Linked DNA regions of Stegostoma tigrinum. The protein of the gene in region 3 interacts with the protein of the main gene of each other region in a pairwise test. Links are inferred from orthologs where the notes say so. Each region holds a gene or a part of one and is shown on either strand. Other genes may lie near its edges.

Region 1 (7,314 bases), about 39 Mb from region 3:
CAAATAGTGGGGAAGGCTTAGTTACAGACAAATTAGAGCCGGGGATCGTGTACAGTTGGAGCTTTGGCTGCCAACAAGCAGCTGTTTGGTCTGTGGATTTATGACTAATTATCAATGACAGAGCATTCCAGCCTGCCTCCATGCTTAGTTCCCAGGTAGCTGAACAGCATGAAAGCGTGAATAGTTGGGTCAGAAGCCATCGCACTTATGGGCAGGAAAGAGCTGTTTTTGTTATGCAGTAAAACCATCTCAGGCTGTTTATTTCCCCTTAACCATTGCTGTAAGCTGCAACCTTTAATTAATAAGTCAGCAATATTTATAAGTTGAACCACTCACCCTGTGACTCCTGCAACCAAGCGGAAGTACCTGGAGAAAGAAGATTAAAAAGCACCTTTCTGATCAGTAAAAGGATCAGCACAGCAAACCCTGCTGAGAGACCTCTGAACCAGGTTTCCGCCATCTACAATCCGAACCCACCACCCAAGACATTTTTCCATCCCCACCCTTGTCTGCTTTCCGGAGAGACCACTCTCTCCGTGACTCCCTTGTTCGCTCCACACTGCCCTCCAACCCCACCACACCCGGCACCTTCCCCTGCAACCGCAGGAAATGCTACACTTGTCCCCACACCTCCTCCCTCACCCCTATCCCAGGCCCCAAGATGACTGTCCATATTAAGCAGAGGTTCACCTGCACATCTGACAATGTGGTAAACTGTATCCACTGTGCCCGGTGTGGCTTCCTCTACATTGGGGAAACCAAGCGGAGGCTTGGGGACAGCTTTCAGAACACCTCCGCTCAGTTCACAACAAACAACTGCACCTCCCAGTCGCAAACCATTTCCACTCCCCCTCCCATTCTTTAGATGACATGTCCATCATGAGCCTCCTGCAGTGCCACAATGATGCCACCCGAAGGTTGCAGGAACAGCAACTCATATTCCGCTTGGGAACCCTGCAGCCCAATGGTATCAATGTGCACTTCACCAGCTTCAAAATCTTCCCTTCCCCCACCGCATCCCTAAACCAGTCCAGTTCGTCCCCTCCCCCCACTGCACCACACAACCAGCCCAGCTCTTCCCCTCCACCCACTGCATCCCAAAACCAGTCCAACCTGTCTCTGCCTCCCTAACCTGTTCTTCCTCTCACGCATCCCTTCCTCCCACCCCAAGGCACACCTCCAGCTCCTACCTACTAACCTCATCCTCACCTCCTTGACCTGTCCGTCTTCCCTGGACTGACCTATCCCCTCCCTACCTATCTTCTTTTCTCTCCATCTTCGATCCGCCTCCCCCTGTCTCCCTATTTATTCCAGAACCCTCACCCCATCCCCCTCTCTGATGAAGCGTCTAGGCCCAAAACGTCAGCTTTTGTGCTCCTGAGATGCTGCTGGGCCTGCTGTGTTCATCCAGCCTCACATTTTATTATCTTGAGCCAGGATGTTGCCAGGTTTGGAGGGATTGAGCTATAGGGAGAGACTGAATGGGCTGGGGCTATTGTCCCTGGAGCATCGGATACTGAGGGATGACCTTATAACCATATGTATAATCATGAGGGGCATTGGTAGGGTGAATAGCCAAGCTCTTTTCCCCAGAGTAGGGGAATCCAGAACTAAAGAGAATTGGTTTAAGGGGAGACAGGAAAGATTTAAAAGGGACCTAAGGGGCAACCTTTTCCACATAGAGGGTGGTCCCTGTCTAGAAATGAGCTGCCAGAGGAAGTGGAGGAGGCTGGTACAATTGTAAATTATTTAAAAGGCAACTGGATGGGTACATGGATAGAAAGGGTTTCAGAGGGATTTGGGCCAAATGCTGGCAAATGGGACTAGATTATTTAGGGTATCTGGTTGGTACGGCCAAGTGGACCAAAAGTTCTGTTTCCATGCTGTACACCTCTATGACTATGAACCACCTGCCAGTCTTTCCTTCCATCCATAACACCATTTTTTGTCTCTGTTTGTTTGTCTCTGTACATGTGACGAGGGGAGTTTACAAATGCATTTGAATTTTAACTGGTAGAGTGATCTGTTGATGGTTCATAATTGTTTCTGTAGTTCAAATCTACTTACATTAATAAACAGTAATTATATTTACTTGTAATAAACAAATAGTTCTTGTCAAGTACAGAATCTGGTTTGTGCGTTCCGTCAACCTGTGTTTAAAAGCCAGGTTAAAAGTTCAGAAATGGACACTTTGGTCTCACTCATCCAATCCTGACAAGGGTTCATAAACTGACCTAGTCCCATCTGCCTACAGTTGGCCCATATCCCTCTAAACCTTTCCTATTCACATACCTGCCCAAATACCTTGAGTTCACCTTTACCACTGATTTGTGGTGTTTTCCAGATGTAATTTTAATCAGGAAGAATTCACATTTTGATTGACTCAGGGATTGTAATAAATCCTCAATCAGAGCCTCTCTGTCTGGTGGCTGCTCAAGCTGCGATATTAAGCTCATTCCTCGGGAAATTGAGTTTGCTTCACACCCACAGTAGAAATTGAGTGAGGTACAGTGAAGATTAGCACAGGCAAAGGCGCAAACTGCTGAAAACGATCACAAAACCAGATCCCAGTTACTATTAGAAAAAGGAAGCTCCTAACTTCTGCAATAAATCTAATTTCAAATTTAGATGTCCCCTTCCTCAATCTGTGATAACTAGTTGGTGACTTATGCTGGTTAGTATTCCCCTGGTTAAAGATTTATCTCGCTATGTTCCCAGGTTGGCGGGTTTTTTTTTGGTTAATGTTTTTCTGGTTAAGGATTTTACTGCTTGATGTTTCGGTAGTTAATGGCTTTGCTGGTTATTGTTCCCCAGGTTGATGGTGCGGCTGGGTTATGTTTCCCTGGTTAATGGGCTTGTTGGTTACTGTTTCCTTGGTAAATGGTTTAATGTTGGTCCAGGCCGCGCTCTCTCACCTTCATTCGCTCTCCTAAAGCTCCGCGTTTTCCTGCTCCTTTTCCACTCGGTGACTTCCATCGATCCCGCCGCAACTCCCACACTCGTCCGGGGACCGGCTCACCCCACCGTCTGCCCGAGCCGCCGCTTCACTTTCCCGGAGACCAGGCGCCGGCAATCAGCGGGAGAGGGAGCCGCGACCGACCGCCGACCGCCCTCAGGAGGAAAAGGACTCCACCCGGGGGGGACCCTTCATCCGGGAGACACTTCACACTCCGCCAGGGGGACACTGCACACTCCGCCAGGGGGACACTTTACACTCCGCCAGGGAGACACTTTACACTCCGCCAGGGAGACACTGCACACTCCGCCAGGGGGACCCTCCGCCAGGGAGACACTTCACACTCCGCCAGGGGGACGCTCCGCCAGGGAGACACTTCACACTCCGCCAGGGGGACGCTCCACCGGGGAGACACTTCACACTCCGCCAGGGGGACGCTCCACCGGGGAGAGACTACATCCTCCACGAGGGGGACACTCCGCCGGGGAGAGACTACATCCTCCACGAGGGGGACACTCCGCCGGGGAGAGACTACATCCTCCACGAGGGGGACACTCCGCCGGGGAGAGACTACATCCTCCACGAGGGGGACACTCCGCCGGGGAGAGACTACATCCTCCACGAGGGGGACACTCCGCCGGGGAGAGACTACATCCTCCACGAGGGGGACACTCCGCCGGGGAGAGACTACATCCTCCACGAGGGGGACACTCCGCCGGGGAGAGACTACATCCTCCACGAGGGGGACACTCCGCCGGGGAGAGACTACATCCTCCACGAGGGGGACACTCCGCCGGGGAGAGACTACATCCTCCACGAGGGGGACACTCCATGCTCCCTAATGGGCGCGCTCCTCGTGTAACAGGGGAGGACATTCCACCAAGGGGGAGACTCCTTTCTGCATGAGGGAAACACTACATCCTCCACCCCTGAAGTCAGTACTGTCTGAGGAATTGTGCGGCAAATCTCCATATCTGATGGTTCCCATTGCATGCTTTTAAAAACAGTAGATAAGGATATTGCAGATGGATTATTCATAAATTGCTCCTAAACTCTCGACAGTTTGGAATTGTGTCTTCTAAAAGTTTAAAACGAGGGAAGGAGAAACTGGAAAACCAGTTTATCCTCAGTTGATAGCAAACTTTGGGAATGGATTCTCAGAGAGTTGCATCCATTGAAAACGGATTGCTGTGGTTCAAGGAAGCAGCTTCTCAAAGGCAATAAAATATAAACAGGAGCTGCTCTGGACAGAGAAATGGAGTTACCAATTCTTATGATTTGTTAAAACGTGGAGTAATATAAAATTATTTATGAAATATTTACTTTTAGTATAGGGTCTATAGTTATTTAAATGTGCGAATCCTTTTGAAGTTATTTGGCGGTGTTCCGCGGCTTGGATTACTTCGGGGGGGGGGAAGGTGAGGGCGGATTTGGTCTAATCGACGGCTAGGCCGCGCCGTCGCTGTGGTGCGGCGGCGGGTTTCCGGCGCCTCGCCCTCTGACCCGGACGTGACGACGTTGTTGTGGCGGCGGCCGCGCGGATGGAGCAGCTGAAGGCGGAGATCGAGAGGAAACGACGGCTCCTGGAGGAAAGCCGGGCCCCGGGGGTGAGGGAGAACAGCCGGCCCCGGGGGGTGGGGGAGGAGAACAGCCGGCCCCGGGGGGTGGGGAAGGGGAGGAGGAGGAGGAGAACAGCCGGGCCCCGTGGGGGTGGGGAGGAGAACAGCCGGCCCCGTGGGGGTGGGGAGGGGGAGGAGAACAGCCGGCCCCGGGGGGGTGGGGAGGGGGAGGAGAACAGCCGGCCCCGGGGGGGTGGGGAGGGGGAGGAGAACAGCCGGCCCCGTGGGGGTGGGGAGGGGGAGGAGAACAGCCGGCCCTGGGGAGGGGGAGGAGAACAGCCGGCCCCGGGGGGAGGAGAACAGCCGGCCCCGGGGGGAGGGGGAGGAGAACAGCCGGGCCCCGGGGGGTGAGGGAGAACAGCCGGCCCCTGGGGGTGGGGGCGGGGAGGAGACAACCGGCCCCGGGGGGGTGAGGGAGAGGTGGGGGTATAGCTGGCCCCCAGGGGGGTGGGGGTGAGAGAGGAGGGAGGAGGACACCTGGCCCCAGTGGGGAGGGGGAGAGGGAGAGGACACCTGGCCCCGGAGGTGAGGGTAAGGGGGTGGGAGAGCCATTCCCTGTGGGAGGGGTGAGAGGATGGCGGGGGACGTTGCCAGCCCTCAGGAGGCATGGAGGGGGACGTTGAGGGGAAGGGGTGGGGTGTGAGGAGAAGTAGGGGCAAGGCTGGAAAGCAGGCCCCTGGGGGGGTGTGAGGTGAAGAGCAGGCCCCCGGGGTTGGGGGGAGGTAGAGAGAGAGCCGGCCCCGGGAGTGAGCAGACGCCAGAAGTGGGAGAGCTGGTCCCCAGGGGTGAGGGAGAGAGCGCTAAGTTTGATGGTCAGGGTGTAGTTGCGCTGATTTTGGGGGTCAGCGGGGGAGGCATGTGCGATGCTGGCATGTGTGGTTCGTTGGGGTGGAGAATTGAGTTCTGCCCTAATTTCAAATCACAGTCTTGAATATGAGACAACAAAGTGTGGAGCTGGATGAACACAGCAGGCCAAGCAGTATCTCAGGAGCACAAAAGCTGACGTTTCGGGCCTAGATCCTCCTCCAGAGAGGGGGATGGGGAGAGGCTTCTGGAATAAATAGGGAGAGAGGGGGAGGCGGACTGAAAATGGAGAGAAAAGAAGATAGGTGGAGAGGAGAGTATAGTTGGGGAGGGGATAGGTCAAGGAGGCGGGATGAGGTTGGTAGTTGGGAAAAGGAGGTGCAACTTGAGGTGGGAGGAGGGGATAGGTGAGAGGAAGAACAGGTTAGGGAGGAGGGTACGAACTGGGCTGGTTTTGGGTTGCAGTGGGGGAGGGGAGATTTTGAAGCTAGTGAAATCCACATTGATATCATTGGGCCGCAGGGTTCCCAAGCGGAATATGAGTTGCTGTTCCTGCAACCTTCGGGTGGCATCACTGTGGCACTGCAGGAGGCCCATGATGGACATGTCGTCTGAGGAATGGGAGGGGGGGGTTAAAATGGTTTGCGACTGGGAGGTTTTCAGATTAGATTCCCTACAGTGTCGAAACAAGCCCTTTGGCCCGACAAGTCCACACCACCCCTTGGAACATCCCACCCAGACCCATCCCCAAATAACCCACACACCCCTGAACACTATGGGCAATTTAGCACAGCCAATCCACCTGACCTGCACATCTTTGGACTGTGGGAGGAGACCCATGCAGACACGGAAAGAACGTGCAAACTCCACACAGACAGTCCCCTAAGGCTGGAATTGAACCCGGGTCCCTGGCACTGTGAGGCTACAGTGCTAACCACTCAGCCACCGTGCCACCCGGTACAGTTGCTTATTGCAAACCGAGCGGAGGTGTTCTGCAAAGTGGTCCCCAAGCCTCCACTTGGTTTCCCCAATGTAGAGGAAGCCACACCGGGCAAAGTGGATACAGTATACCACTTTGGCAGACGTGCAGGTGAACATCTGCTTAATGTGGAAAGTCATCTTGGCTTGGGATGGGGGTGAGGGAGGAGGTGTGGGGGCAAGTGTAGCACTTCCTGCGGTTGTAGGGAAAGGTGCCTGGTGTGGTGGGGTTGGAGGGGAGTGTGGAGCGGACAAGGGAGTCACGGAGAGAGTGGTCTCTCTGGAAAGCAGAGAAGGGTGGGGATGGAAAAATTTCTTGGGTGGTGGGGTCGGACTGCAGGTGGCGGAAGTGTCGGAGGATGATGCGTTGTGGGGACAAGGGGGATTACATATTAAGCAATAAAACGTGAGGCTGGATGAACACAGCAGGCCAAGCAGCATCTCAGGAGCACAAAAGCTGACGTTTCGGGCCTAGACCCTTCATCAGAGTGGGGGATGGGGGGAGGGAACTGGAATAAACAGGGAGAGAGGGGGAGGCGGACCGAAGATGGAGAGTAAAGAAGATAGGTGGAGAGGGTGTAGGTGGGGAGGTAGGGAGGGGATAGGTCAGTCCAGGGAAGACGGACAGGTCAAGGAGGTGGGATGAGGTTAGTAGGTAGCTGGGGGTGCGGCTTGGGGTGGGAGGAAGGGATGGGTGAGAGGAAGAACCGGTTAGGGAGGCAGAGACAGGTTGGACTGGTTTTGGGATGCAGTGGGTGGGGGGGAAGAGCTGGGCTGGTTGTGTGGTGCAGTGGGGGGAGGGGATGAACTGGGCTGGTTTAGGGATGCAGTAGGGGAAGGGGAGATTTTGAAACTGGTGAAGTCCACATTGATACCATATGGCTGCAGGGTTCCCAGGCGGAATATGAGTTGCTGTTCCTGCAACCTTCGGGTGGCATCATTGTGGCAGTGCAGGAG
Region 2 (8,054 bases), on a different chromosome or scaffold from region 3:
GGCTTCTATGGAACTGCTTCGAGTCCATTTTCATAAACGTAGCAACAAGTCTAAAGGAGCACGCCCCTCCTGTTATAGACTTCATTAGTAAATGTGTAGAAGACAGCATGTGGAAGAAGTTAGTTCTAACCTTCTCCAACCAAAAACCCTGGATGAACCAGGAGCTTCGCTCCCTGCTGAAGTGCAGATCGGAGGTGTACAAGTTGGGCAACCCCAGCCTATACAGGAAACCCAGGAATGGCATTCACAAAGACAGCAGAGACGCCAAGAGGCAATACTAAATTCAGCTTGAGACCTAGACCAACCTCATGGACTTTGCCAATGTGGCAAGGCTTACACCATGTAAACTGCTCCAAGCGATATAATTCCAAGTCAGGATGGTGGGTGACTTGGAGGGGGTGGTATTCCCATATGTCTGATGCCCTTGCCCTTCTGGATGGAAGCGGTCGTGCATTTTGAAGGTGCTGTGAGGATCTTTGGTGAATTTCTGCAGTGCATCCTGTAGATGGTACAAACTGCTGCTGAGTGTCGGTGGTGGGGGGAGTGGGATGTTTGTGGATGTGGTGCCAATCAAGCGGCTGCTTTATCCTGGAAGGTGTCAAGCTTCTTGAGTGTTGTTGGGGCTGCACCCATCCAGGCAAGTGGGGAGTATTCCATCACACTCCTGACTTGTGCCTTGTAGATGGTGGACAGGCTTTGGGGAGTCAGGAGGTGAGTTACTCCCGGCAGGGTTCCCAGCTTCTGGCCTGTTCTTGCCGCCCCTGTGTTAATGTGGTGAGTCCAGTTGAGTTTCTGGTCAATGGTAACCCCCAGGATGTTGATGGTGGGGGATTCAGTGATGGTAACACTATAGAATGTCAAGGAGCGGTGATCAGATGGTCTCTTATTGGTGATGGTCATAGCCTGGCAGTTGTGTGGCGTGAATATCACTTTCCCCTTGCCATCCCAAGCCTGGATATTGTCCAGATCATGCTCCTTTTGAACATGGACTGCTTCAGTACCTGAGGAGTCATGAATGGTGCTGAACATTGTGCAATCATCAGCGAACATCCCCACTTCTGACCTTATGACGGAGGGAAGGTCACTGATGAAGCAGCTGAAAATGGATGGGCCGGGGACATTTCCCTGAGGAAGTTGTACCAAAGAAGTCAATCAGAGTGTTCCCCAACTGGAAACCTTGGATGAACCAGGAAATCAACTCCCTACTGAAGACCAGGCATGCAGCATTCAAGTCGGGTGACCTAGACCAATACTGGAAATCCAGATATGACCTCCGCAAAGCCATCAGGGAGGCCAAGAAGCAGTGCCAGACCAAGTCAGAGGCCCAGACCTGCCAAACAGATCCCTGATGTCTATGGCAAAACTTGAACGACTTTACGGGATACAAAATGAAACAGCATAAGATAGCGGACAACGATGCATCCCTCCCTGACATGCTCAATGCTTTCTATGCTCCGTTTGAGCAGAATACCACCAGCATGGCAACTCCTGCCCCAACAGCCTGAGGCACACCTGTTCTGTCTATCGCTCTTCAGAAGTCAGATCAGTCTTCCTGAGAGTCAACCCAAGGAAAATGATGGGCCCAGTTGGTGTCCCCGGTCAAGCATTCAGATCCTGCGCATTCCTGGACATCTTCAACTTCTCCCTCCTACAAGCCGAAGTGCCCACCTGCTTCAAGAAGACCACCATCCCCGTACTAGAGAAAGCACATGCAGTGTGCCTTAATGACTAACGTCCAATAGCTCTGACTTCAATAAACATGAGGTGCTTTGAGATGCTGGTCATGGCCACCATCAAGTCCAAGCTCTCAACCTGCCTCAATCCCCTACAGTCTGCCTACCAACATAACAGATCCACAGAGGATGCCATTTCTCTGGCCCTGCACTCATCCCTGGAACATCTGGATAACAAAGACTCCTGTGTCAGGCACCTGCTCGTTGAGTACAGCCCTGCCTTCAACATCATAATTCCAAACAAACTCATCTCTACCCTCCAAGACCTAGTTCCCAGCTCCCCCCTCTAACTGGATCCTCAACTTCCTGATCCACAGGCCACAATCAGCAAGGATAAACAAAAACACCTCCTCCACAATGGTCCTCAACACTGGTTCCCTACTGTACTCCTTATACATTCATGGCAGCATGTCTTCAAAGTTCTCGATTTTCATCGATGCACCAGAGAAAGCGTCCATCAGGATGCATCAAGACTTTGTACAGCAACTGCTCTTCCTAAAACTACAAGAAACTAGAGAGTTGTGAACACAGCCCAGACCTGCACACAAACCAGCCTTCCTTACACTAACGCCGCCTATATTTCCGCACTGCCCCAGGTAAACAGCCCACTTAATCAAAGATCCCTCCCACCCTGGTTATAGTTTCTGCCACCCTCTTCCATTGGGCAGGAGGTATAAAAATTTGAATACACGTATAAACAGATCAAGAACAGCTTCTGCCTTGGTGATAGCAGGCTTTTAAACGAATATCTCCAATGTTAGTTCTGATCTCGTTCTCTCTGCACTTTATCTGTGACTGTCATACTGTATTCTGCACTCTGTTCTGGCAGCCTGATGCACTTGGTACGGAACGATCTGGATATATCGCGCACTAAACAGCACTTTGCACTGTACCTCGATACGTGACAATAAATTAAATCAAAACCCACACATTAACCTTAAGAGAATCCTGAATGGAGACTCCCAAGCCCCCTTGTGCATCAGATTCCCAACGCCTTTCCCCATTGCCGACTCTCCCAACATGCCCAACTACTTAATAAAAACTGAAAGAACTGCGGATGGTGTAAATCAGGAAGAAAAAACCAGCCAGCTTGCCTGTAGCAGTTCTGACGAAGCGTCACCGGACTCAAAACATTAACTCGGTTTTTTTCCTTCACAAATGCTCTCTCTCTATCTATATCGATCCCAGTCTCTCTCTCTCTCTATCCCAATCACCCTCTCTCTCTCACTATCCCAATCTCCCTTTCCCTTGCTATCACAGTCACTCTCTCTCTCTCTCCCTATCCCAGTCTCTCTCTCTGTCTCTCTGTCTCTCTCTCTCTCTAACCCAGTCTTTCTCTCTCTCTCTCTATCCCAGTCGCACTCTCTCTCTCTCTCTCTCTATCCCAGTCTCTCTCTCTCTCTCTCTCTCTAACCCAGTCTCTCTCTCTATCCCAGTCGCGCTCTCTCTCTCTCTCTCTCTCTCTCTCTCTCTATCCCAGTCGCGCTCCCTCTCTCTCTACCCCAGTCTCTCTCTCTCTCTATCCCAGTGTCTCTCTCTCTCTCTCTCTCTCTCTATCCCTCTATCCCAGTCTCTCTCTCACTCTCTATCCCAGTCGCGCTCTCTCTCTCTCTATCCCAGTAGCGCTCATCCTCTCTCTCTCTCTCTCTCTCAGTTGCGCTCATCCTCTATCTATCCCAGTCGCCCTCTGTGTCTCTCTCTCTATCCCAGTCGCTCTCTCTCTCTCTCTCTCTCTATCCCAGTCTCTCTCTCTCTCTATCCCTCTACCCCAGTCTCTCTCTCTCTCTCTATCCCAGTCGCTCTCGCTCTCTCACTCTATCCTAGTCGCTGTCTCTCTCTCTATGCCACTCGCGCTCTCACTATCTCTATCACAGTCGCTCTGTCTCTCTCTCTATCCCAGTCTCTCTCTCTCTCTCTATCGCAGTCGCGCTCTCTCTCTCTCTCTCTCTATCCCAGTAGCGTTCATCCTCTCTCTCTCTCAGTTGCGCTCATCCCCTCTCTCTCTATCCCAGTCTCTCTCTCTCTCTATCCCAGTCCCTCTCTCTCTCTCTATCCCAGTTGCGCTCCCTCTCTCTCTACCCCAGTCTCTCTCTATCTCTCTCTCTAACCCACTCTCTCTCTCTCTCTATCCCAGTCTCTCTCTCTCTCTCTCTCTATCCCAGTCTCTCTCTCACTCTCTATTCCAGTCGCGCTCTCTCTCGCTCTCTATCCCAGTCGGGCTCTCTCTCTCTCTATCCCAGTAGCGCTCATCCTCTCTCTCTCTCTCAGTTGCGCTCATCCTCTCTCTATCCCAGTCGCCCTCTGTGTCTCTCTCTCTATCCCAGTCGCTCTCTCTCTCTCTCTATCCCTCTATCCCAGTCTCTCTCTCTCTCTCTCTATCCCTCGACCCCAGTCTCTCTCTCTCTCTCTCTATCCCAGTCGCTCTCGCTCTCTCACTCTATCCCAGTCGCTGTCTCTCTCTCTATGCCAGTCACACTCTCACTAACTCTATCACAGTCGCTCTGTCTCTCTCTCTATGCCAGTCGCGCTCTCACTAACTCTATCACAGTCGCTCTGTCTCTCTCTCTATGCCAGTCGCGCTCTCACTAACTCTATCACAGTCGCTCTGTCTCTCTCTCTATCCCAGTCTCTCTCTCTCTCTCTATCACAGTCGCGTACTCTCTCTCTCTCTATCCCAGTCGCGTTCTCTCTCTCTATCCCAGTCGCTCTCACTCTCTCTCTCTCTATCCCAGTCTCTCTCTCTCTCTCTCTCTCTCTCTATCCCAGTCGCGCTCTCTCTCTATCCCATTCGCTCTCTCCCTCTCTCTCTATCCCAGTCACGCTCTCTCTCTCTCTCTATATCCCAGTCTCTCTCTCTCTATCCCAGTCGCGCTCTCTCTCTATCCCATTCGCTCTCACCCTCTCTCTCTATCCCAGTCACGCTCTCTCTCTCTCTCTATATCTCAGTCTCTCTCTCTCTATCCCAGTCGCTCTCGCTCTCTGACTCTATCTCAGTCGCTCTCTCTCTCACTCTCTCGCTCTCTCTATTCCAGTCGCGCGCTCTCTCTCTCAGTCTCTATTCCAGGCACGCTCTCTCTCTCTCTCTATCCCAGGCGCACGCGCTCTCTCTCTCTCTCTCTATCCCAGTCTCTCTCTCTCTCTCTATACCTCTACACCAGTCTCCCTCTCTCTCTCTCTATATCCCAGTCGCTCTCGCTCTCTCACTCTATCCCAGTTGCTGTCTCTCTCTCTCTCTATCCCAGTCTCTCTCTCTCTCTCTCTCTCTCTATCCCAGTCTCTCTCTCTCTCTCTATCCCAGTCGCGCTCTCTCTCTATCCCATTCGCTCTCTCCCTCTCTCTCTATCCCAGTCACGCTCTCTCTCTCTCTCTCTCTATATCCCAGTCTCTCTCTCTCTCTCTCTCTATCCCAGTCGCTCTCGCTCTCTGGCTCTATCCCAGTCGCTCTCTCTCTCTCTCTCTCGCTCTCTCTATTCCAGTCGCGCGCTCTCTCTCTCAGTCTCTATTCCAGGCACGCTCTCTCTCTCTCTATCCCAGGCGCACGCGCTCTCTCTCTCTCTCTATCCCAGTCGCGCTGTCTCTCTCTCTCTATCCCAGTCGCGCTCTCTCTCTCTCTCTATCCCAGTCTCTCTCTCTGTATCACAGTCACTCGCTCTCTCTCTCTATCCCAGTCGTGCTCTCTCTCTCTCTATCCCAGTCGCGCGCTCTCTCTCCCTCTATCCCAGTCACGCTCTCTCTCTCTCTCTCTCTCTATCCCAGTCGCGCGCTCTCTCTATCCCATTCGCTCTCTCTCTCTCTCTCTAATCCAGTCACGCTCTCTCACAATCTCTATATCCCAGTCTCTCTCTCTCTCTCACTCTCTCTATCCCAGTCGCCCTCTGTGTCTCTCTCTCTATCCCAGTCGCGCTCTCTCTCTCTCTCTATCCCTCTATCCCAGTCTCTCTCTCTCTCTATCCCTCTACCCCAGTCTCTCTCTCTCTCTATCCCAGTCGCTCTCGCTCTCTCACTCTATCCCAGTCGCTGTCTCTCTCTCTATGCCAGTCGCACTCTCACTAACTCTATCACAGTCGCTCTGTCTCTCTCTCTATCCCAGTCTCTCTCTCTCTCTCTCTATCACAGTCGCGTTCTCTCTCTCTCTCTATCCCAGTCGCGCTCTCTCTCTCTATCCGTCGCTCTCACTCTCTCTCTCTACCCCAGTCTCTCTCTCTCTCTATCCCAGTCGCTCTCGCTCTCTGACTCTATCCCAGTCGCTCTCTCTCTCTCTCTCTATTCCAGTCACGCGCTCTCTCTCTCAGTCTCTATCCCAGTCACGCTCTCTCTCTCTCTCTATATCCCAGTCTCTCTCTCTCTCTCTCTCTCTATCCCAGTCGCTCTCGCTCTCTGACTCTATCCCAGTCGCTCTCGCTCTCTCTCTCTATTCCAGTCACGCGCTCTCTCTCTCAGTCTCTATTCCAGGCATGCTCTCTCTCTCTCTATCCCAGGCGCACACGTTCTCTCTCTCTCTCTATCCCAGTCACGCTCTCTCTCTCTCTCTCTATCCCAGTTGCCCTGTCTCTCTCTCTCTATCCCAGTCGCTCTCTCTCTCTCTCTATCCCTCTATCCCAGTCTCTCTCTCTCTCTATCCCTCTACCCCAGTCTCTCTCTCTCTCTCTCTATCCCTCTATCCCAGTCTCTCTCTCTCTCTATCCCTCTACCCCAGTCTCTCTCTCTCTCTCTCTATCACAGTCGCTCTGTCTCTCTCTCTATGCCAGTCGCACTCTCTCTCTCTATCACAGTCGCGTTCTCTCTCTCTCTCTCTATCCCAGTCACGCTCTCTCTCTCTATCCCAGTCGCGCTGTCTCTCTCTCTCTATCCCAGTCGCGCTCTCTCTCTCTCTATCCCAGTCTCTCTCTCTGTATCACAGTCACTCGCTCTCTCTCTCTATCCCAGTCGCGCTCTCTCTCTCTCTATCCCAGTCGCGCGCTCTCTCTCTCTCTATCCCAGTCTCTCTCTCTCTCTCTCCCATTCGCCCTCTGTGTCTCTCTCTCTATCCCAGTCGCTCTCGCTCTCTCACTCTATCCCAGTCGCTGTCTCTCTCTCTATGCCAGTCGCGCTCTCACTATCTCTATCACAGTCGCTCTGTCTCTCTCTCTATCCCAGTCTCTCTCTCTCTCTCTCTCTATCACAGTCGCGCTCTCTCTCTCTCTCTCTCTCTCTATCCCAGTAGCGCTCATCCTCTCTCTATCCCAGTCTCTCTCTCTCTCTATCCCAGTCCCTCTCTCTCTCTCTATCCCAGTTGCGCTCCCTCTCTCTCTACCCCAGTCTCTCTCTCTAACCCAGTCTCTCTCTCTCTCTATCCCAGTCTCTCTCTCTCTCTCTATCCCAGTCTCTCTCTCTCTCTCTATTCCAGTCGCGCTCTCTCTCTCTCTCTCGCTCTCTATCCCAGTCGGGCTCTCTCTCTCTCTATCCCAGTAGCGCTCATCCTCTCTCTCTCTCTCAGTTGCGCTCATCCTCTCTCTATCCCAGTCGCCCTCTGTGTCTCTCTCTCTATCCCAGTCGCTCTCTCTCTCTCTCTATCCCTCTATCCCAGTCTCTCTCTCTCTCTATCCCTCTACCCCAGTCTCTCTCTCTCTCTCTCTCTATCCCAGTCGCTCTCGCTCTCTCACTCTATCCCAGTCGCTGTCTCTCTCTCTATCCCAGTCGCTCTCGCTCTCTCACTCTATCCCAGTCGCTGTCTCTCTCTCTATCCCAGTCTCTCTCTCTCTCTCTCTCTCTATCACAGTCGCGCGCTCTCTCTCTCTCTCTCTATCCCAGTAGCGCTCATCCTCTCTCTCTCTCAGTTGCGCTCATCCCCTCTCTCTCTATCCCAGTCTCTCTCTCTCTCTATCCCAGTCCCTCTCTCTCTCTATCCCAGTCCCTCTCTCTCTCTCTCTCTATCCCAGTTGCGCTCCCTCTCTCTCTACCCCAGTCTCTCTCTATCTCTATCTCTAACCCAGTCTCTCTCTCTCTCTATCCCAGTCTCTCTCTCTCTCTCTCTCTCTCTCTCTCTCTCTCTATCCCAGTCTCTCTCTCACTCTCTATCCCAGTCGGGCTCTCTCTCTCTCTATCCCAGTTGTGCTCATCCTCTCTCTATCCCAGTCGCCCTGTGTCTCTCTCTCTATCCCAGTCGCTCTCTCTCTCTATCCCTCTATCCCAGTCTCTCTCTCTCTCTATCCCTCGACCCCAGTCTCTCTCTCTCTCTCTCTCTATCCCAGTCGCTCTCACTCTCTCGCTCTATCCCAGTCGCTGTCTCTCTCTCTATGCCAGTCACACTCTCACTAACTCTATCACAGTCGCTCTGTCTCT
Region 3 (8,139 bases):
AATTACTGCCTTTAATTTTCGATAGCTTCTCAGACATACACATCCATTTGATGGAAACCTAGATTTAGAAGTGAGAGTTTGGGCATGGTCCACAGTGTTTACATTTCTTAATGATCTCAGTCCATTTAAATAGCGCTCACTCCAATTGCTAAGATTTTATTGTAAACAGACCTCACCATCACCTTCTTCTGCTCTTTTACCCTAATGGCACTTAATTCTCTTCCCCCCCGCCAAAAAAAACAAAACCGAGCTAGACCAGAGGGGAGGAGCAGGGACTAACTCATTACCATGCTCAAGATTAGTAAGACTTTCACTTCCGTGGAATATGTTGCGCTCCATTGTTTTGTTTTAAAAAGAGAACAGATTCCTAAACCGATCCTTAACTCATTTGTCCCTGGGGAGGGGAGGGCAGAGAGAGAGAGAGAGAGAGAGAGAGAGAGACAGACACAGAGACTGAGGGAAAGATTTGGCAAATTGGAAGTTTTTGGTCCCGCTTAATAAAAAAAAGGTGGTAAATGAGAAGGAGAGAATTTTGCCAACACTGTTTCATTATATCATTGATGGATGGCAAACAAAAGATTTTTGAGGGGTGGGTGAATAATAAACGTTGGAATCAATCTTAAAGCCGTTTCTTTCTCTCTCGCTCCTGGTTCAATGGGTCCAGAGCGCCCCTGCGGATAACCACCCTCCGGAATTACAATGCAAATAAATGTCCCCAGTTCAGGCTTTTTTTAAAAAAAGCTATTTCTTTATAAAGAACTGGAGCTCGGAACCAATTTGATTCCCACTCCCTTCTTAGATGTAGCTGTAAGGCTGAAGAGATACTGACATTTTTCCACTCTTATCAGTTTAATTACAGTTTCCATGGCAGCAAAGTGCTGGTGCTTGGCAAAGGCCAATGAGATTTTGCGACGGCCACCCCAATTTCTGATGCAGCCAGCATACAAAACACACAGTAAAGAGAAAAGCCCACTCTCATCGCTAACATGCTCAATTTAATGTCTTTTTCTCCCCCCCTTTCTCTACCCCGCGAGAAGAATGGTTTGAATAATGCGAAGAGAGCCATTTACAGATGACAACACTTTTGACAGAAAAAAGGAATCCTTCAGAAAGCACTAAAATAAAAAATCATGCAAGTCACAGAAGGCGTCACGCTGCTTGTATAGGTGGAAAAGGCAGAGAGATTCTTATTCCACAAACCTCTGAAGAACTCGGCTTTGTGCAGAATCGCAGACACACACACATACAATAGCATCGAGAATCACGTTCGCCGCCTTACCATAAAATAACTTTCCTCCCCTTTTTTGCATCGGTGTGTGTACGTTTTTTTTTAGAAGAGGGGGAGGGGGGGGGTGCTTGGTAGGGTGACCAGGTCTCTAGCAGTTTCTTGCTGGAAGAGCCGGTTCCTTCCCCGTCAGGGTGAACTGGCGACGATGAGCGAGTACACCGAGCCAGGTCATTGTTGACACCGACAAAGACACACGCTTTACAAACGTACCGCACGTTTCCAATCATCAGCCTGACACTTCGAGGCAGTTAGTGTGAATGCGGAATGACAGCCCCACACTTTTTTGGTAGGGGGTGGGGGAAGGAATTTACTTGTAACCCCCCCCCCCTTGCAGTGGCAAGAGCTCCCCCACACAAAAAAAAAACTTTTTGTATTTTTTTTCCATTAACAAGAATCCCAGAAAATATCTAACCAGAGGAAACTTACCTTAGCCTCAAAAAAACAAATAAGTCCCCTACAGAAGGGCGCAGTGACAACGCAGAAAGTTCAAATCATTCAGAAATATAAAACGCACACTCTACAAAAGCAAAACACAGCCCAGAGTAGCCGGGAAATAGCCAGAGGGATACTCTTTCCACTTACCGTCTCTATTCAACATGAAAAAGAAACCCTCTCCAAAATATGTTCAGAATACAGCGTGTACTTTCTTCCAACGCAAGGTCAACACACGGAATGCACTTGAATCGTTAAAAGAAAGTTTTAAAGATAATGAGATCCCCAAGGAACTGCCAGTAATCGAGTTGATCACAACGGAGCTACAGGTGTTCCGTCTGGGTATCTGCAGTGTAACCTTTCCCTGCGACGAATGATGGAGGACAACTTACCTATCAGCTTATAAGAATTGTCCTAAACGAATTCAGCCTCATCATCTGCAAATTCAATCCTTCGCCAGCGAGACACACAATGCAGTAAAAGGTCATTCAATTATTAGCGAGGTAGCGCGGCTGCCGCCACACACACACACAGACGCGCACACACACACTCGACAAGGCACACGGCAGCGCTCCCCCAGACTTCGATATTACCACACGCACACACTCTGCTGTCGACCCAAGTCCAGCTATAGCCCTGGGATGAATCCTGTCTCAATGGCTAATTTCCCCATGGTGAAAATTTAGGAACAGCCGCAAGCTTTTGGTTAGTCAGAACCACACACACACACACAAGCCGTTCTCAGGGAGGGGTGTGTATAAAAAAAGCTAGAAAACCAACCTCTTGAGTGCGTCCAGTTTCAGAGACTGCGGATTAATGAGAGCTTTCTTATTGATTTAACCGTTTCACAAAAAAAGTGTAGTAGAGCCGAGTTGTGGTTCCCCCTCCCCGTTTCACAAAAAAACCTTCTCTACTGTTTAGCCCTTTACAACTATGAGATATCAACGCCTTTTGTTAGCCAATACATGCACACATACAGAGCAGCGAGTGAGACAAAATCAAAACAAATAGAACAGCTAATGAGGACAATTAAATTAATTATGTTCAAGGAGATGAGTTTTTTTTTAAAAATCTGTATGATCTGCTATCCCTCGTTTGCAAGGACTGCTCTGTAATTCATGGCAAATGATTAGGGCATCTATGCAAATCTTTGTTTAAATCATTCAACTAATTAAATGATAGGATTATTCTTCTGCCTACAGTGACATCATTTCCCAGTAATTAGTACTCTATTTAGACTGTAGCAATAGATTCTTAATAGCACCAGCGAGTTGCAGACGTTTAACCATTTTCTCACGCGTCTGAGAAACTGTCCAAAACCCCGGTTCTATATTGTACTTTTACCTCCTCGGAGGTGAATAATACGCCCCAACTTCATTTGAAGAGAAAACACATAGGAATCAATAGTTAACATTCAGCTCCATGCTACTCATTTCTCTCATTCCCACCCCCACCCACTACACAAAATGTAATGATAATAAGATGGGTCATAAAATGCTCCTCTTTTCATTATGACTGATGAAATGCATTAAAACTGACAGGGTATTACCTGACAGTAATTAGGTTTTGTCATGAATTAAATTATTTGAATGCGGACTATCTTCCCAATCGTGCAATTTTCAGGGAATTTTTTAAGTCAGAAGAGACAGAAAATAGCATTTCCCCCCTCTCTTCATAATCATATGAATTATTCACAGAATCATCACAAACCATACAGTTGAAGAGGCCCACCACTTAGTGCATTGCACAGATGTGATCAGCAGTGATGACTAGCAATGAAATACTAGGGGACACACACGCACAGTGATTTGGTGAACAAGAGGTGGAATTTAATCATCAATTGATATTCACATATTAAAAAAACAAACACTAATTCATAATCTCCACAAAATCCTCCCTTCTTTTCATTTTCAAACATAAATTTTTGCATTTACTCCCTCTGTCAAGCCAGAAGGGAGTTTTAATGTAGGCGAGCATTTTCTTTCACTGTGGGCAAATTAAGTGCTAAATTGAAAACTCTCAAGAAACCCCTTTTAAAAAGAACTAAAACAAAGTAGCTATTTCTTATATTTAAAAAAAATGTTCCAGCCCAAACTGATTCTCAAAAATATATTGCAACCTTTCCATTCATCAACTAAGGCAGTTTATCCCCTATTTCACAAGCACCCTTTAAAATCAAATTCAACACAGAAGACTGTAATAGATAGAACTCACCTTATTTCAAACCACTGCTGAGCAGGTTTCAAAGAAAAAGATCCGTCAAGTTTTCACTTTTTTAAAAAACTGCTTTGCACTAATGCGTTGTTTTGAGTTCTTTCCTTTTCCTCAAAAGGAGATCAAACAGAAATCCTATATTCACAAATAGAAACACTAAACAGTGTTGTTGAGGCAAGAATTAAGTGTTAGGCTGTTTCTTCCTCTTCTGAAAATAAAACTCTGATTCCGGGGAAGACAGAGAGAGAGCAAATTTCTTTTCATGGGGATGATGGCAGAACCAGTTAGTTGTTCCTTCTAACCGCGACAGCAGGGATGAAAGGGCCACCTGTCTCTCTCTTCTCAAGCTGAGCACAAAACCTGAGTGGGCCAGCTTCTTTTCCTCCAGTATTTAAGCACCTCACCAGGTCCCTAGTTAGCAGCTTCCTTCAGCTCATCCAAGAAGCTGACAAGTACTGTTAGAGGAGGCTGTACATGTTGCTCTAATGGACCTCATTAAGTTCTACTTACAGATGTTCTCTTAACATAATTGATCTGTGGTGAGTTGAGAGGACTGAAACTTATTCCCCAGCCCCCAATTACGGTTGGGTAATTAGATCCCCAACCTCCAATTTTTCACATTCACCCTTCTAACATTCCAAAATATCAAAGTATCTCTTTCTCACAAAGCCCCCCTTACTGGACTCCACTCGCTCATAGTATTGACAGTTAGATCTGCTAACCTTTGTAGTGACGCCAGATTTAATAGCACATTCAGTTCACTGACAGAGCTCCGTCTTTTTTTCCTCTCCCCCTTTGCTTCCTTTTTATTCTACTCTGATAACAAAGGGGAAGAGAAACTAACTTTGTATGGTTTGTACTTTTTGATAAAAGCTACTAATGATCAGCCGTGGCAGGGGAAATTCTGTTTTAATGTCTTTTTTCAAAATCTGTTTTAATTCCTCAGATAGGAACTTTAAGGAGCAATGAAGGAGAGAGGTGCTGCTCTGAAACAGTGAGGGAAAAATACTGCACACCTGGGACAGATGAAGCCAAACTACTGCTTTTATAATGCCAATCAGCAACGCTGTTATCATCCTGCTAATTAGGAAAGCAGCCTAAAACAGAGAGCACTTTGGGAAATGGTAATACTATGGTTTTGCACTTAAAAGGGTAGAAATTTCCTGTACTGTAGAATTGTGGATTGGCTTTGACAATCCTTTAACTAATGGATAAGGTTTACTGTGCACTTCTCCTCTGAAACAAAGAATTTGCCAAAGGAACTTTGATGGTCTCGAGGGAGTCAAAGGTCACATCACATCACAAAATTGGTGGAATGAATTTTCGAGATGAGGGAAACAAATTCTATACACACTAATGCAGCAGTACTTTGCCAAAAGTGAACACTTGTCTGTATTTATTGCCGGTCTGAGGGTTCAAGGCACTCTAAGAATATTAGGAAGGGCTCTGAGGAAGGGTCACTCAACCTAAAATGTTAACTCTGGTTTCTCTTCACAGAAGCTGTCAGACCTGCTGAGCTTTTCCAGTAATTTATGTCTTTGTTTCTGATTTACAGCATCTGCAGTTCTTTTGGTTTTTACTAAGAATATTAGGGGCAATTAAATGTTATGGTTTGTTAAGGGCTCCTTAATGTAATTGTGGGTGAACCCATGTAGCCTTTGTGCAGGATTGTCAAAGACTGAATATAATCCTCCTGGTTATAGTGAACATAACAGAGAGAAACATTTCAAAGTTTCACCACTTCAACAAGAGAAATGAATAATGTGGAGGTATGCTTCAAGGTTCTAAGACTGCCGGGAATGTTGCAAGAGGAGAAGAGGTCAACTCAGGTACAAAGAGGCTTAGGAAATGTGCAATGCACAACTGCTCAAGGTCAATGCAAAGTAAATAGACTCCCTGCGCATCATGGAGGTATGGTGATGAGCAGACTTGGAATCACATTTTGGGTTAGCACAGATGCAGTGACTGAGTTATGCTTGGTGATCTGAGAGAAGCTATAAGGACATTTATTGAGATAACACGGTGTGAAGCTGGATGAACACAGCAGGCAGAGCAGCATCAGAGGAGCAGGAAAGCTTGACATTTCGAGTCGGGGCTGTTCTCCAGCATTGGCAGTTCCTACTATCTCAGGACATTTATTGATCTGCATTGTCCTGCCCCTGCCAGAAGTAGGGGACCAACATCACCTAACTTCGTAGATAATGTTAGAAAGGTTTCCACACTCAACCATTTTCGTGTGTAATGTTCCACGATGAGCTTGTCTGAAGCCTTGTATCATCACAACCTAGCTACACTCATTTCAGCAAGCAAAATCCTTGCCTTCTCCAAAACGGGTGGCATCTTCAAAACATGCACACTATATAAACAGCCACAAGAATACAAACCACCTGATGTTTGCTGGGTTGAAATTTCTAAGAGTGGGCAGGAGCTCTGAGAGGAACACTATCTGACAGCTCTTTTTTTAAACATGTCCATAGTCAGTGTGGCCAACAGTATTTAGCTCCCTGATAATAAAATGTGAGGCTGGATGAACACAGCAGGCCCAGCAGCATCTCAGGAGCACAAAAGCTGACGTTTCGGGCCTAGACCCTTCATCAGACCCTTCTCTCTGATGAAGGGTCTAGGCCCGAAATGTCAGCTTTTGTGCTCCTGAGATGCTGCTGGGCCTGCTGTGTTCATCCAGCGTCACATTTTATTATCTTGGATTCTCCAGCATCTGCAGTTCCCATTATCACTGATACAGTATTTAGCACCCTGTCAAGTTCAGAATACAGCAACAGAGACTGCATTGCAGAATTATGCTGGCTTCCTGCATACGGGGAAGACATTGGAAGGACAAGAAGGAGGGAGCAGCATAGAGATGGTGGGTAATATAATGGGCAGGGGTCAGAGAGACATTGGGCTCACATTTCTGGGGTAGGGGGTGATGTGGGCAATGACCATTGGCAGCTTCATCATGGGTGAGGGCCTCTAATTGAAAGGGGGGATCATTAGACAGGCTTTCCTGGAGTTCTATGATGGAGGGGAGCACTCCTGTTCCTCCTGGAAAGACAAGTTTGATTCCTCAGCAAGTAAGATTTCCCTCCATTAGTTTCCAGATTTCTAGCGCTCATCATATTGAATGGTGGAGCAGGCCCAAAGAGGTGAATGGCCTATTCCTATTTTCTAAGTTCTCAAGTTTCGATCCTTTAATGTTTTCCAGGCTGCAGGAACAGTGGGTAATCAAGAAGGCAAATGGTATCTTGGCCTTCATAGCATGAGGATTCAAGTATTTTTAAAAATTTTATTCATTAACAGAATGAAGATGTTGCTGGTATTTATTGTCCAGAGGGCAGTTCAGAGTCAACCACATTGCTGGGAGTCTGGAGTCACATGTAGGCCAGACCAGGTAAGGATGGCAGTTACTTTCCCTAAAGTACATTAGTGAACCAGATGGGTTTTTTCCTGACAATCGATTCATGGTCATCATTAGGTTCTCAATTCCAGATTTTTTAAATTGAATTCAGACTGAAGAGAGACAGGATTGGTTAGGACTGTGTTCATTAGAGTTTAGAAGAATGTGGTGTGTGATTTCTCATTGAAAACTATAACATTCAAACAGGACTAGACAAAGTAAATGCAGGATGAATGTTTGCAATGATTGGGGAGTCCAAAACCAGGGGCCACGTTCTAAGGATATGGGATAGATCATTTAAGACTGAAGTGAGGAGAAATTTCTTCACCCAGAGAGTGTTGAGCCTGTGGAATTCTCTGCCACAGAAAGTGGTTGTGACAAAATATTGACTGTTTTCAAAAAGGAGCCAGATATGGTTCTGAGGGCGAAAGGGATCAAAGACTATCTGGAGAAAGAAGGAACAATGTACTTAATTGGCTGATCATCCTTGATCATACTGAATGACAGAATGGAATCAAAAAGCCAACTAGTCTGCCCCGCTCCAATTTTCTGTGTTTCTACTAACTTAGGAAATCTGTCTGGGGGGTCAACATAAAAGCTGGGGGTGTCTGAGGTAGGCAGCTTCATTAAAATATTTAAGTGAGACCTGAATACTGTGAGGAGTTTGTTTCCCCATGACCTTGCCCCTGCTTTGTTACAATTGAGCACAGAAAAGATACAATGGAATATACAGAACCTAGAGTGAGGCATTCTGGGTGGATGGTTTGCAATGCATAGTGGCACTAATAGCATGCGTTGAATTCACATACAA
Region 4 (8,230 bases), on a different chromosome or scaffold from region 3:
ATCAACAAACACATTGATTTGGAGCCAATCTACCATCCCCTGAGAAAAAGAACAGGCAATGACATCACCAACGCAGGAAATGACATCACCAGCCCAAGGAAACCTAGCCAGATAAATAGAAAGCCGGACATAACACCAGTGCTTTGTTGGAGGCTCACTGATGATGTTACCTAGAATGGTGACGAAACGTCTGAAAATGAACCTTCCAGCTCAGCAAGCAAACTCACATCCAGATCCTTGATAAGGGTATATCACATCAGTGCAACAGCAAGCATTGCCCACAGTTAGAGAACGCATTGAAGGGCAGACAATGAAAGGGGCTGCACAATAACAATGTCACAGAACACAATCAATTCTAGGCAAAACAACCAAAGAAATGTGGATGCTGGAAATTAGAAACAAAAGCAGAAATTGCCTGAAAAACTCAGCAGGTCTGACAGCATCTGTGGAGACAAAGCAGAGTTACCATTTTGGATGACTTCAGAGTAGGATATAGAGGCTGCATAGTTAAACATAAACATTTGTCAGTGTTGCAAGCTGCAACCCTTGTACAAGGTTGTATTAAGATGTTGGTTCTAGATGGAAAAGTGACACTGAGATGATCAACCCCAAGTGGTGGTACAGATTCACTGGGTTGAATGGCCTCCTGTTCCTATATGCAGCTGGAACTAGCAGATTGGATATTAATAGTTATTTAGTGAGAAAGCCTCCAATGTCCCCATCAGCATAAACTAATTTCATTTGGCCTTCCTTGAGCTCAAGTCTGCTCCAAGGAGGGGTTTAGGAGCCTTATGTCTATTTATAGCCAAGAGAACATACACATATAATAAATGTCAGTGAGCTGCTGAGTACTGTTGCTTCTTTTGTGTTTTAATTGTGAACCTTAGCAGATATGCAAGGCAATAACACAATGGGACAAGTAGTGCTACATCAGTAGTGACAATAAGTGACAGACATTCATTAGGTGCTACGTCTCCACTGGATGCCCGATCTGTAGTGTGACATTCACCTGCTACAGTGATCTTACTATGCTAACTCTCACTCTCAATGGCATGAAGCATTGAGTAGATAGTGGCACAAATCTTGGGACGTCACAGTACATCATTCATGCTTACTTAGCATTGGAGTCACGTTCTTGAGCCACTTATGGGCACTAACTTCCACAGCCATCTTTGTCCAGAATGTATTGAGCCTTGAGATGCCATTCCTAACCCTAACCCTAACCCTAACCTTTCTCTGCTGGACCGCTTTCAAGAGAACCTATTGATAGGTATTGCTAATGTGTGCTACCATTATTTGCCTGGATTCTGACATCTCTCAGAGTCATTGGAGTGATGAGAAGTTGAGTCACACTCATCCGTTGCAGAGAATAAAATGCTATCCAGGTGCCTTTTAAACATGGTATCCGGACTTTGAGACAAGACGACACACTGGGGAGGGGGACTGGAATCCTCCTGCCCCTAAAAATAGGAGCTTTACCCATGCATGCATAAATTATGAGCTGAGAAGAATGTAAATCGCACCCAAAAACCTGATCCAGCCCTGAGCAGAGGCAGAAGCAAGCACAGCCTTTGAAGAAGGGGAGATAAAGAAAGAAACAGAAGTCAGTCAGGCCTGGCAAAAGCTGAAAAGATTGGTCAGGCTTTCATCAATGTAGCATTTTGACCTGATTTGAAAGACAGAAACATGAAGACAGGGAAAGCCTTACTCGTTGTAGATTACACATAATAGGTCACATTCATTTAGATGAGGCCTAACCCTGAAAACATACAGACTGATCTTCAAAATCCTGAGCAGGCCGGGTGGAACAGATCCAAGGAAACTGTTCCCACTTGTAAAAGGAATAAGAACAAGAGACCTGGATTTAAAGAGATCTGCAAAAGAATTAAGGCTAAAGTGGAAAATATACCTTTTTTCCCCCATAGCAAGTAGTTAGGACATGGAAATGCACTATCCACAATTGTGGCGAAGACAGGATCAATTGAGACATTCAAGAAGGCATAGGATGATTATGTGGATAAAAGTAATCTACAAAGGTGTGGGTTAAAGTGTAGGAAATTGGCACTAGATCCAATTGGCACTGTGTCCAATTTTGGGCCCCATACCTCAGGAAGGACATACTGGCCCTGGAGCGTGTCCAGCGGAAATTCACACGGATGATCCCTGGAATGGTAGGTTTAACGTATGATGAACGGCTAAGGATTGTGGGATTGTACTTATTAGAGCTTAGAAGGTTGAGGGGAGATCTAATAGAAACTTACAAGATAATGTATGGTTTAGAAGGGGTGGACACCAGGAAGTTGCTTCCGTTAGGCGGGGAGACTAGGACCCGTGGGCACAGCCTTAAAATTAGAGGGCGTAAATTTAAAACTGAAATGAGACGACATTTCTTAAGCCAGAGAGTGGTGGGCTTGTGGAATTCATTGCCATGGAGTGCAGTGGAGGCCGGGACATTAGATGCCTTCAAGGCAGAGATCGACAAATTCTTGATCTCAGAAGGAATCAAGGGCTATGGGGAGAGTGCAGGGAAGTGGAGTTGAAATGCCCGTCAGCCATGATTTAAATGGCAGGGTGGATTTGATGGGCCGAATGGCCTTACTTCCACTCCTATGTCTTATGGTTTTATGGTAATGACTCTTAATAAGTGTTGCAGGCACAACAGGCCAAATGGCCTCCTTCAGCACTGTAAACCTTCTGATTCATAGGAGGCCAAGCCAGTGGGCTCACATTGCTGCCATTTTTCTCCAAATCATTCGATTAATATAATATTCACATAGAGGCACTAAAGACCAGCATGTACAATCCAAGTCAGATTGCAGGCAGTAGCGATGCTATTTTTGCACCCTCTGCCCACCAGCTACAGAGCTCACTGAATTCCAGACAAGACAAACAGATGAGATTCCAAAACACTTTCAGTTAAAAAAAACCAAAAACTTCATCAGGGATGTTCAAACTATTAGGTGCAAAACAGGTTAACAGGTGCAAAACAAACCAAATTTGAGAACCTGCAGCCAGTGGCAGCTCTTTACAATTGGAACCAGCCAGCCTGTTGTAAGGTTGTAGCACACACCACTCTGGGCACCAGCATCAGCCTGGCATTTGGTCTACCAACGGGAGGGGCACTGCCACGCACCAGGCTTCAGGAAACAGCTCAGGATCTCCTGCGATGCACAATGCAAGCTGCAGCTACTCTGGCCCAGGAGCACATTTTCAACAGACTTGTCTCTGTACCTTTGCCACTGGAATGCATGAATAGGACTTGGGGAACTTTCTATATCACAATCTCCTGTTTCTGTTCATTTATAGAGGTGGGTGGCTGCTGTGTGTTGGTGGGGGAATATGGTGAGAACGCTGATAAGAGCTTGGACAGATGGCTCAGACAGCCTAGTCAGAAAATTGGAGATGGCCATTCTAATACCTTTCTTATTCCTTGCTGATTATCTTAAATGTAGCAAAATAAAGTTATTCAGGGGTCATTTTGACTTTGTGAGGGTGTGAACAAAGCAATGATGAACTTTGCTAGCCCATTTTACATTTCTGCTCACCTCACTTCCACTTAAGAAATCAGGAGAGATGTAAAACAAGATGGTGGAACTTGAATTCAATACATTTTTTTAAAAATCTAGAATTACAAGTCTAATGATGACCATGAAACCATTGTCGATGGTCAGAAAAACCCATTTTGTTCACTCATGTTTTTTTGGGTAAAGGAAACGGTCATCCTTATTTGGTCTGGCCTAAGGGATACTCCAGACCCACTGCAATGTGGCTGATTCTTAACTGCCCTCTGGGCAATTAGGGATGGGTAATGAATGGTGGCCTAGCCAGTGATGCTCTCATCCCATGTTTGAATGAAAAGAAAAATCAATTACGCAGGAACTGGTGTAAGCCACTCAGACCTTCAGATTTGCTCTGTCATTTGCTAAGATCATGACTGATGTAAATGCACCTTCTGCTCCTCTTTCCTTCCTATGTCAACACCCTTTGGGAGATTCTGAACTAATAAGGAAGTCAATCTTAAAAATATTCAAAAGACCCAACCTCCATCACTCTGTGGGGAAGTAAATTCCCTAGAACTATCAAATCCCATCAGTGAAAACCAAACTAAGACACTTTTCTTTGTGAAGAGAGTTTATTAACTACATAGTCTCATAGCTCCTACTACATTGCTAGTCTCCACCTGTTCCTCCTTTAGGTATTCATGAGCAAAGCCTATTAAGGGCAATGCAAACCATCAAAAGTGGAAGGGGGGGGGGCCCTCTGGGAGACCAGAAACATTATAATTCAAAACAGAGTTGGAGGGGAAAATAAAGCACCATATCCCCTGCAATACCCACCTCTCTCTGAAGGAATTGACAGCATTGATGGAAACCAGCTCTCCAATGACAGTCAGGCAAAACATAACAGCAGGAGGGAGTAGACAGTCAGCAGAGATGACCCCCCCCCCACCGCGATAAGTCTTGACTTTGGAAATTTATCAAAAAACTATGGTCAGTTTTAAAACAAAAAGCTGGCAAGTAAGTGCTTCCAGAATGCAAAGGGTTAACAATGTTTCTCGTTGTAACCCCAGCTGTTAGCTAATTTAAAGGAAAGGGGTTCTGGGGGGTGGGTGGAAGGTTTCTTTTCAAATAGTTTAGCTCTAATTTTTCCTCCCCTCTAAATAAAATTAACCACACAAGACTAAATTGGGAAAGGAAAAATTCTTACATAATAATCTAATAAAGTTGATGTAGTTTGCAAGCCTAGCAGCAGAACAGGCTGCTTCTTGTCAGTCATGTCATTTGCCAACCAACTTCCAAAGAAATTAATCTTATCTTAGAATTACTTTATTATATATACACACATATGACAGCAGTGTGTGACTGGATGGAAACAAGTCTGTAAGGAGTGGGTAGATTAAGGAGCAACTTCCTGTTTGCTGCACTAATGCCCCAGGAATTCATTTTCCTTTTATGGTAAAGTAAAGCAGAGGTAGGCGGACAGAATTCTCCGGGTACGGGAGTGAAACGATCAGAAGCAATTTGGACTCGCTGCAGTTTAAGCTCCAGGCTCTGAAAGAGATATGCTAGTGGAACAAAACCAATGAGACAATACCTTCAGATGGTAAAACTCCTCCTTTGGTAAGTGTTCCAGGAAAATCTGAATGGGATGGGTTTCTAGATATCAACTTTTAGTCAGTTGGATACCTTAGTTATGTGCAGCAGCACTTTCAGGAAATCATGGGCACTCATAATGGCTGTAAACAGCTCTTTTATAAAAATGTGTATGTTTCACTTTTGTTCCTGTGATATTGTACCCTCCTGTTGCAGAATGTGGTGTTTGTTGAAATAAAGCACACTAGAACCTAGTCCGCCTTCTCCGTATGGTTACAGGTATTCCTCATGCGTGAGACCAAATAGTGAGTGTTGCTATACAGGGCCTTTACCCCAGCTGATCATGCATTTTGCAGCTGAAGTCACTGGGCTGTGATGAAGGGTGGGAATCCTGCTGATTTATTTCCCTTACCCATTGCACCAGTCCAATTACAACCTTTCACTACCACTCCAGTAACAGCACAAACCTGGATTTTGGCCTGGAACACACCTAATCTCTCTGTACTATGCAGGTTGGGGCATATTCTTCTAAATAATTTAGTAGCTCTGTTGTCTGTAGTTACCTTGCACTGTAGAAATTTCAGCAAGTTCCAAGTTCACAATTCCACAGTCTTTTGTTAGTCCATTCTATTGACTCTGTTCCCCTTTTGTTGACAATAGTAAGAACCATAAAGCACAAAATGTTGGATTTAAGAGGTTTTTTTTCTGTATCAAGGTCTGCCATTACAACTATGACCTTCAAATTGATCACATATTGGAGAGGGAATCAAACAAGCAGGGTGTGGGGCTCATTCAATTTGGGTTCTCATGTCCACAAGAATGGTATTTAATTATTGATCATTTTTTCTATGTCTTTTAAACTATCTGAACCAATGCTGCAAATATATGGTGCAATTTATGGTGCCACGACAATCCAGTTTACAGTTTCATTCACTTTATTGCTGAGTCTTTCTAGAAGTCAAAGGTTCCTTGATGTAGTTCATACCTAAGTAACAGTTGAGACCAATCTGAAAGGACACACCCTTTCCCAGAAAACTATTTGTATTCAGCTCATTAGGGAGATACTCAATTGCTACCAAACAAAATATATTCCAGAAAAGAAATATTGTAAGGGCTGGTGGGGGAGGGAGAAAACTGAAGGCTAAGCAAGGAACTTAAAGATAAAATCAAGACAAAAGTGAAGGTGTATCGTATTGCCAAAGTGAGTGGCAGGCTGGGAGATTGGGAAACTTTTAAAGATCAACAAAGGATAACCAAAAAAGTAATAAAAAGAGCAAATGTAAATTATGTAGGAAAACTAGCATAAAGCCTTCTAGAAGTATATAAAAGGGAAGAGAGTAGTTGGAGTGAATGTTGGTCCTTTGGAGGATTAGACTGGATGGTAAATAGTGGGGAACACAGAAATGGCAGAGTCACTAAATTAATACTTTGTTTCAGTTTTCATAATGGGGACGCTGGTACAATCCCAATAGTGATAGGTATTGCAGAGGTTCTGAAAAGAGAGGAATAATTAGGGGAAAAAGTACTGAGTAAACTATTTGGGATTGAAGGCAAATAAGTCACAGGGCCTGACTGACTTTTTTTTAATCCATTCATGGCACGTGGGCAATGGCAAAGCAGTAACAAGATGTAGAGTTAGATGAACACAGCAGGCCAAGCAGCATCAGAAGAGCAGGAAAATTGATATTTCCGGCCTAGCCCCTTCAGAAATGGTTAGGCATTATTTGTTGCCAGGCCCTAGTTGCTCTTGAGAAGGTGGTGGTGAGCTGCCTTCATGAACTGCTGCTGTCGGTTGACCTACAATGCCTTTGGGGTGGGAATTCCAAGATTTTGACCCTGTGACAACAAAGCAATGGCAAAGTATTTCCAAGTTATAATGGTGAGTGGCTTGGAGGGAACTTGTGGGTGGTGGTGCTCCCAGGTATATGCTGTCCTAGTCCTTTCAGATGGAAGTGATTGTGGGTTTGGAATGTGCAATCTGAGGAACTTTGGATAACAATAATCTTTGAATTTCTGAAGTGCATTTGTAGATAATACACAATGCTGCTACTAAGCATTCGTGGTGGAGGGAGTGGATATTTTGTGCATGTGGTACCTATGAAGCAGGATGCTTTGTTCTGGATAATGTCAATTGGTGTTATTGGAGCTGCACCAATCCAGACAAGTGGGGAGTATTCCATCACACTCCTGATTTGTGCCTTTGAGATGGTGAACAGGCTTTGGGAAGTCAGGTGATCGGTTACTCACTACAGTATTTCTGGCTCTGAGCTGCTTTTGTTGCCATCGTGTTTATGTGATGGTTCCGATTGAGTTTCTGGTCAATGGTAACCTTGAGAATGTTGACAGTGATGGTAACACCATTGAATTCAAGGGAAGTGGTTAGATCATTTATTTTTGGTGATGATCACAGCTTAATGTTTGTGCGGCATGGATGTAATTTGCCACTGTCAGCCCAAGCCTGGATATCATCCAGATCTTGTTGCATTTGAACATGGACTGTTTCAGTATCTGAGGAGTCATGAACGGTCCTCAACATTGTGCAATTATAAGCGAACATCCCAGGGTCTTAATGGAAGTGACAGCAGATATTATAGATCCATTGGTTATAATATTCCAAAATTCTCTGAATGCAGAAAAGCCTCTAGTGGATTCGAAAAATTGTTAGTATAGCATCCTTATTCAAAACTGGAGGGAGGCAGAAAGTAGGAAACTACAGACTAGTCAGTTTAATGTGTCATTAGGAACTTGCTATATCCCATTATTATGGGAGTAATAAATAACAGGATATTTGGAAGGTAAAAATACATTCCATCAGAGACAGCATGGTTTTATGAAGGGAATTATGTTTGACTAATTTGCAGGAGTTCATTGAAGATGTAATAATATAGATAACGAGGATCTTGTAGAGGTCGTCTATTTGGACTTCCAGAAGCCTTTTGATAGACACTGCACAGAAGCTTACATACACAAGATTAGACTACATGGGGTGAGGAATAATTTAGTCATTTGGATAGAGGATTAGTTAACCAACAAAGCAGTGAGTTGGGATAAATGGATATTTTTCTGGTTGACAATATGTAATTAGTTATATGCCACAGTATTTGGTCCTCAGGCCCCAACATTTTACAATCTATACA

The links.
Region 1: the proteins of lmo3 (region 3) and bend7 interact in binary tests that used the Homo sapiens proteins (3 or more experiments, as listed by UniProt). The two-hybrid records come from large-scale screens. The link is inferred for Stegostoma tigrinum from reciprocal best matches to the Homo sapiens genes LMO3 and BEND7.
Region 2: the proteins of lmo3 (region 3) and G patch domain-containing protein 2-like interact in binary tests that used the Homo sapiens proteins (3 or more experiments, as listed by UniProt). The link is inferred for Stegostoma tigrinum from reciprocal best matches to the Homo sapiens genes LMO3 and GPATCH2L.
Region 4: the proteins of lmo3 (region 3) and filamin-binding LIM protein 1-like interact in binary tests that used the Homo sapiens proteins (3 or more experiments, as listed by UniProt). The two-hybrid records come from large-scale screens. The link is inferred for Stegostoma tigrinum from reciprocal best matches to the Homo sapiens genes LMO3 and FBLIM1.

Annotation. Positions count from the first base shown.
Region 1 is NC_081378.1:4,517,713-4,525,026, reverse strand, and holds the start of bend7 (BEN domain-containing protein 7), read right to left. Parts: upstream 3,190-7,314; 5' UTR 2,977-3,189; coding exon 2,916-2,976; intron 1-2,915. Other genes in the region: prpf18 (pre-mRNA-splicing factor 18), read left to right, coding at 4,498-4,563.
Region 2 is NC_081363.1:1,723,786-1,731,839, forward strand, and holds the start of G patch domain-containing protein 2-like, read right to left. Parts: upstream 3,137-8,054; 5' UTR 2,828-3,136; intron 1-2,827.
Region 3 is NC_081378.1:43,081,498-43,089,636, forward strand, and holds the start of lmo3 (LIM domain only protein 3), read right to left. Parts: upstream 3,146-8,139; 5' UTR 3,135-3,145; coding exon 3,065-3,134; intron 2,854-3,064; exon of another isoform or gene 2,501-2,853; intron 2,437-2,500; exon of another isoform or gene 2,113-2,436; intron 2,080-2,112; exon of another isoform or gene 1,887-2,079; coding exon of another isoform or gene 1,871-1,886; intron 1,510-1,870; exon of another isoform or gene 1,311-1,509; coding exon of another isoform or gene 1,280-1,310; exon of another isoform or gene 1,256-1,279; coding exon of another isoform or gene 1,201-1,255; intron 310-1,200; exon of another isoform or gene 288-309; intron 62-287; exon of another isoform or gene 1-61.
Region 4 is NC_081381.1:31,882,629-31,890,858, forward strand, and holds the start of filamin-binding LIM protein 1-like, read left to right. Parts: upstream 1-4,940; 5' UTR 4,941-5,120; intron 5,121-8,230. UniProt on the Homo sapiens protein: Serves as an anchoring site for cell-ECM adhesion proteins and filamin-containing actin filaments. Is implicated in cell shape modulation (spreading) and motility.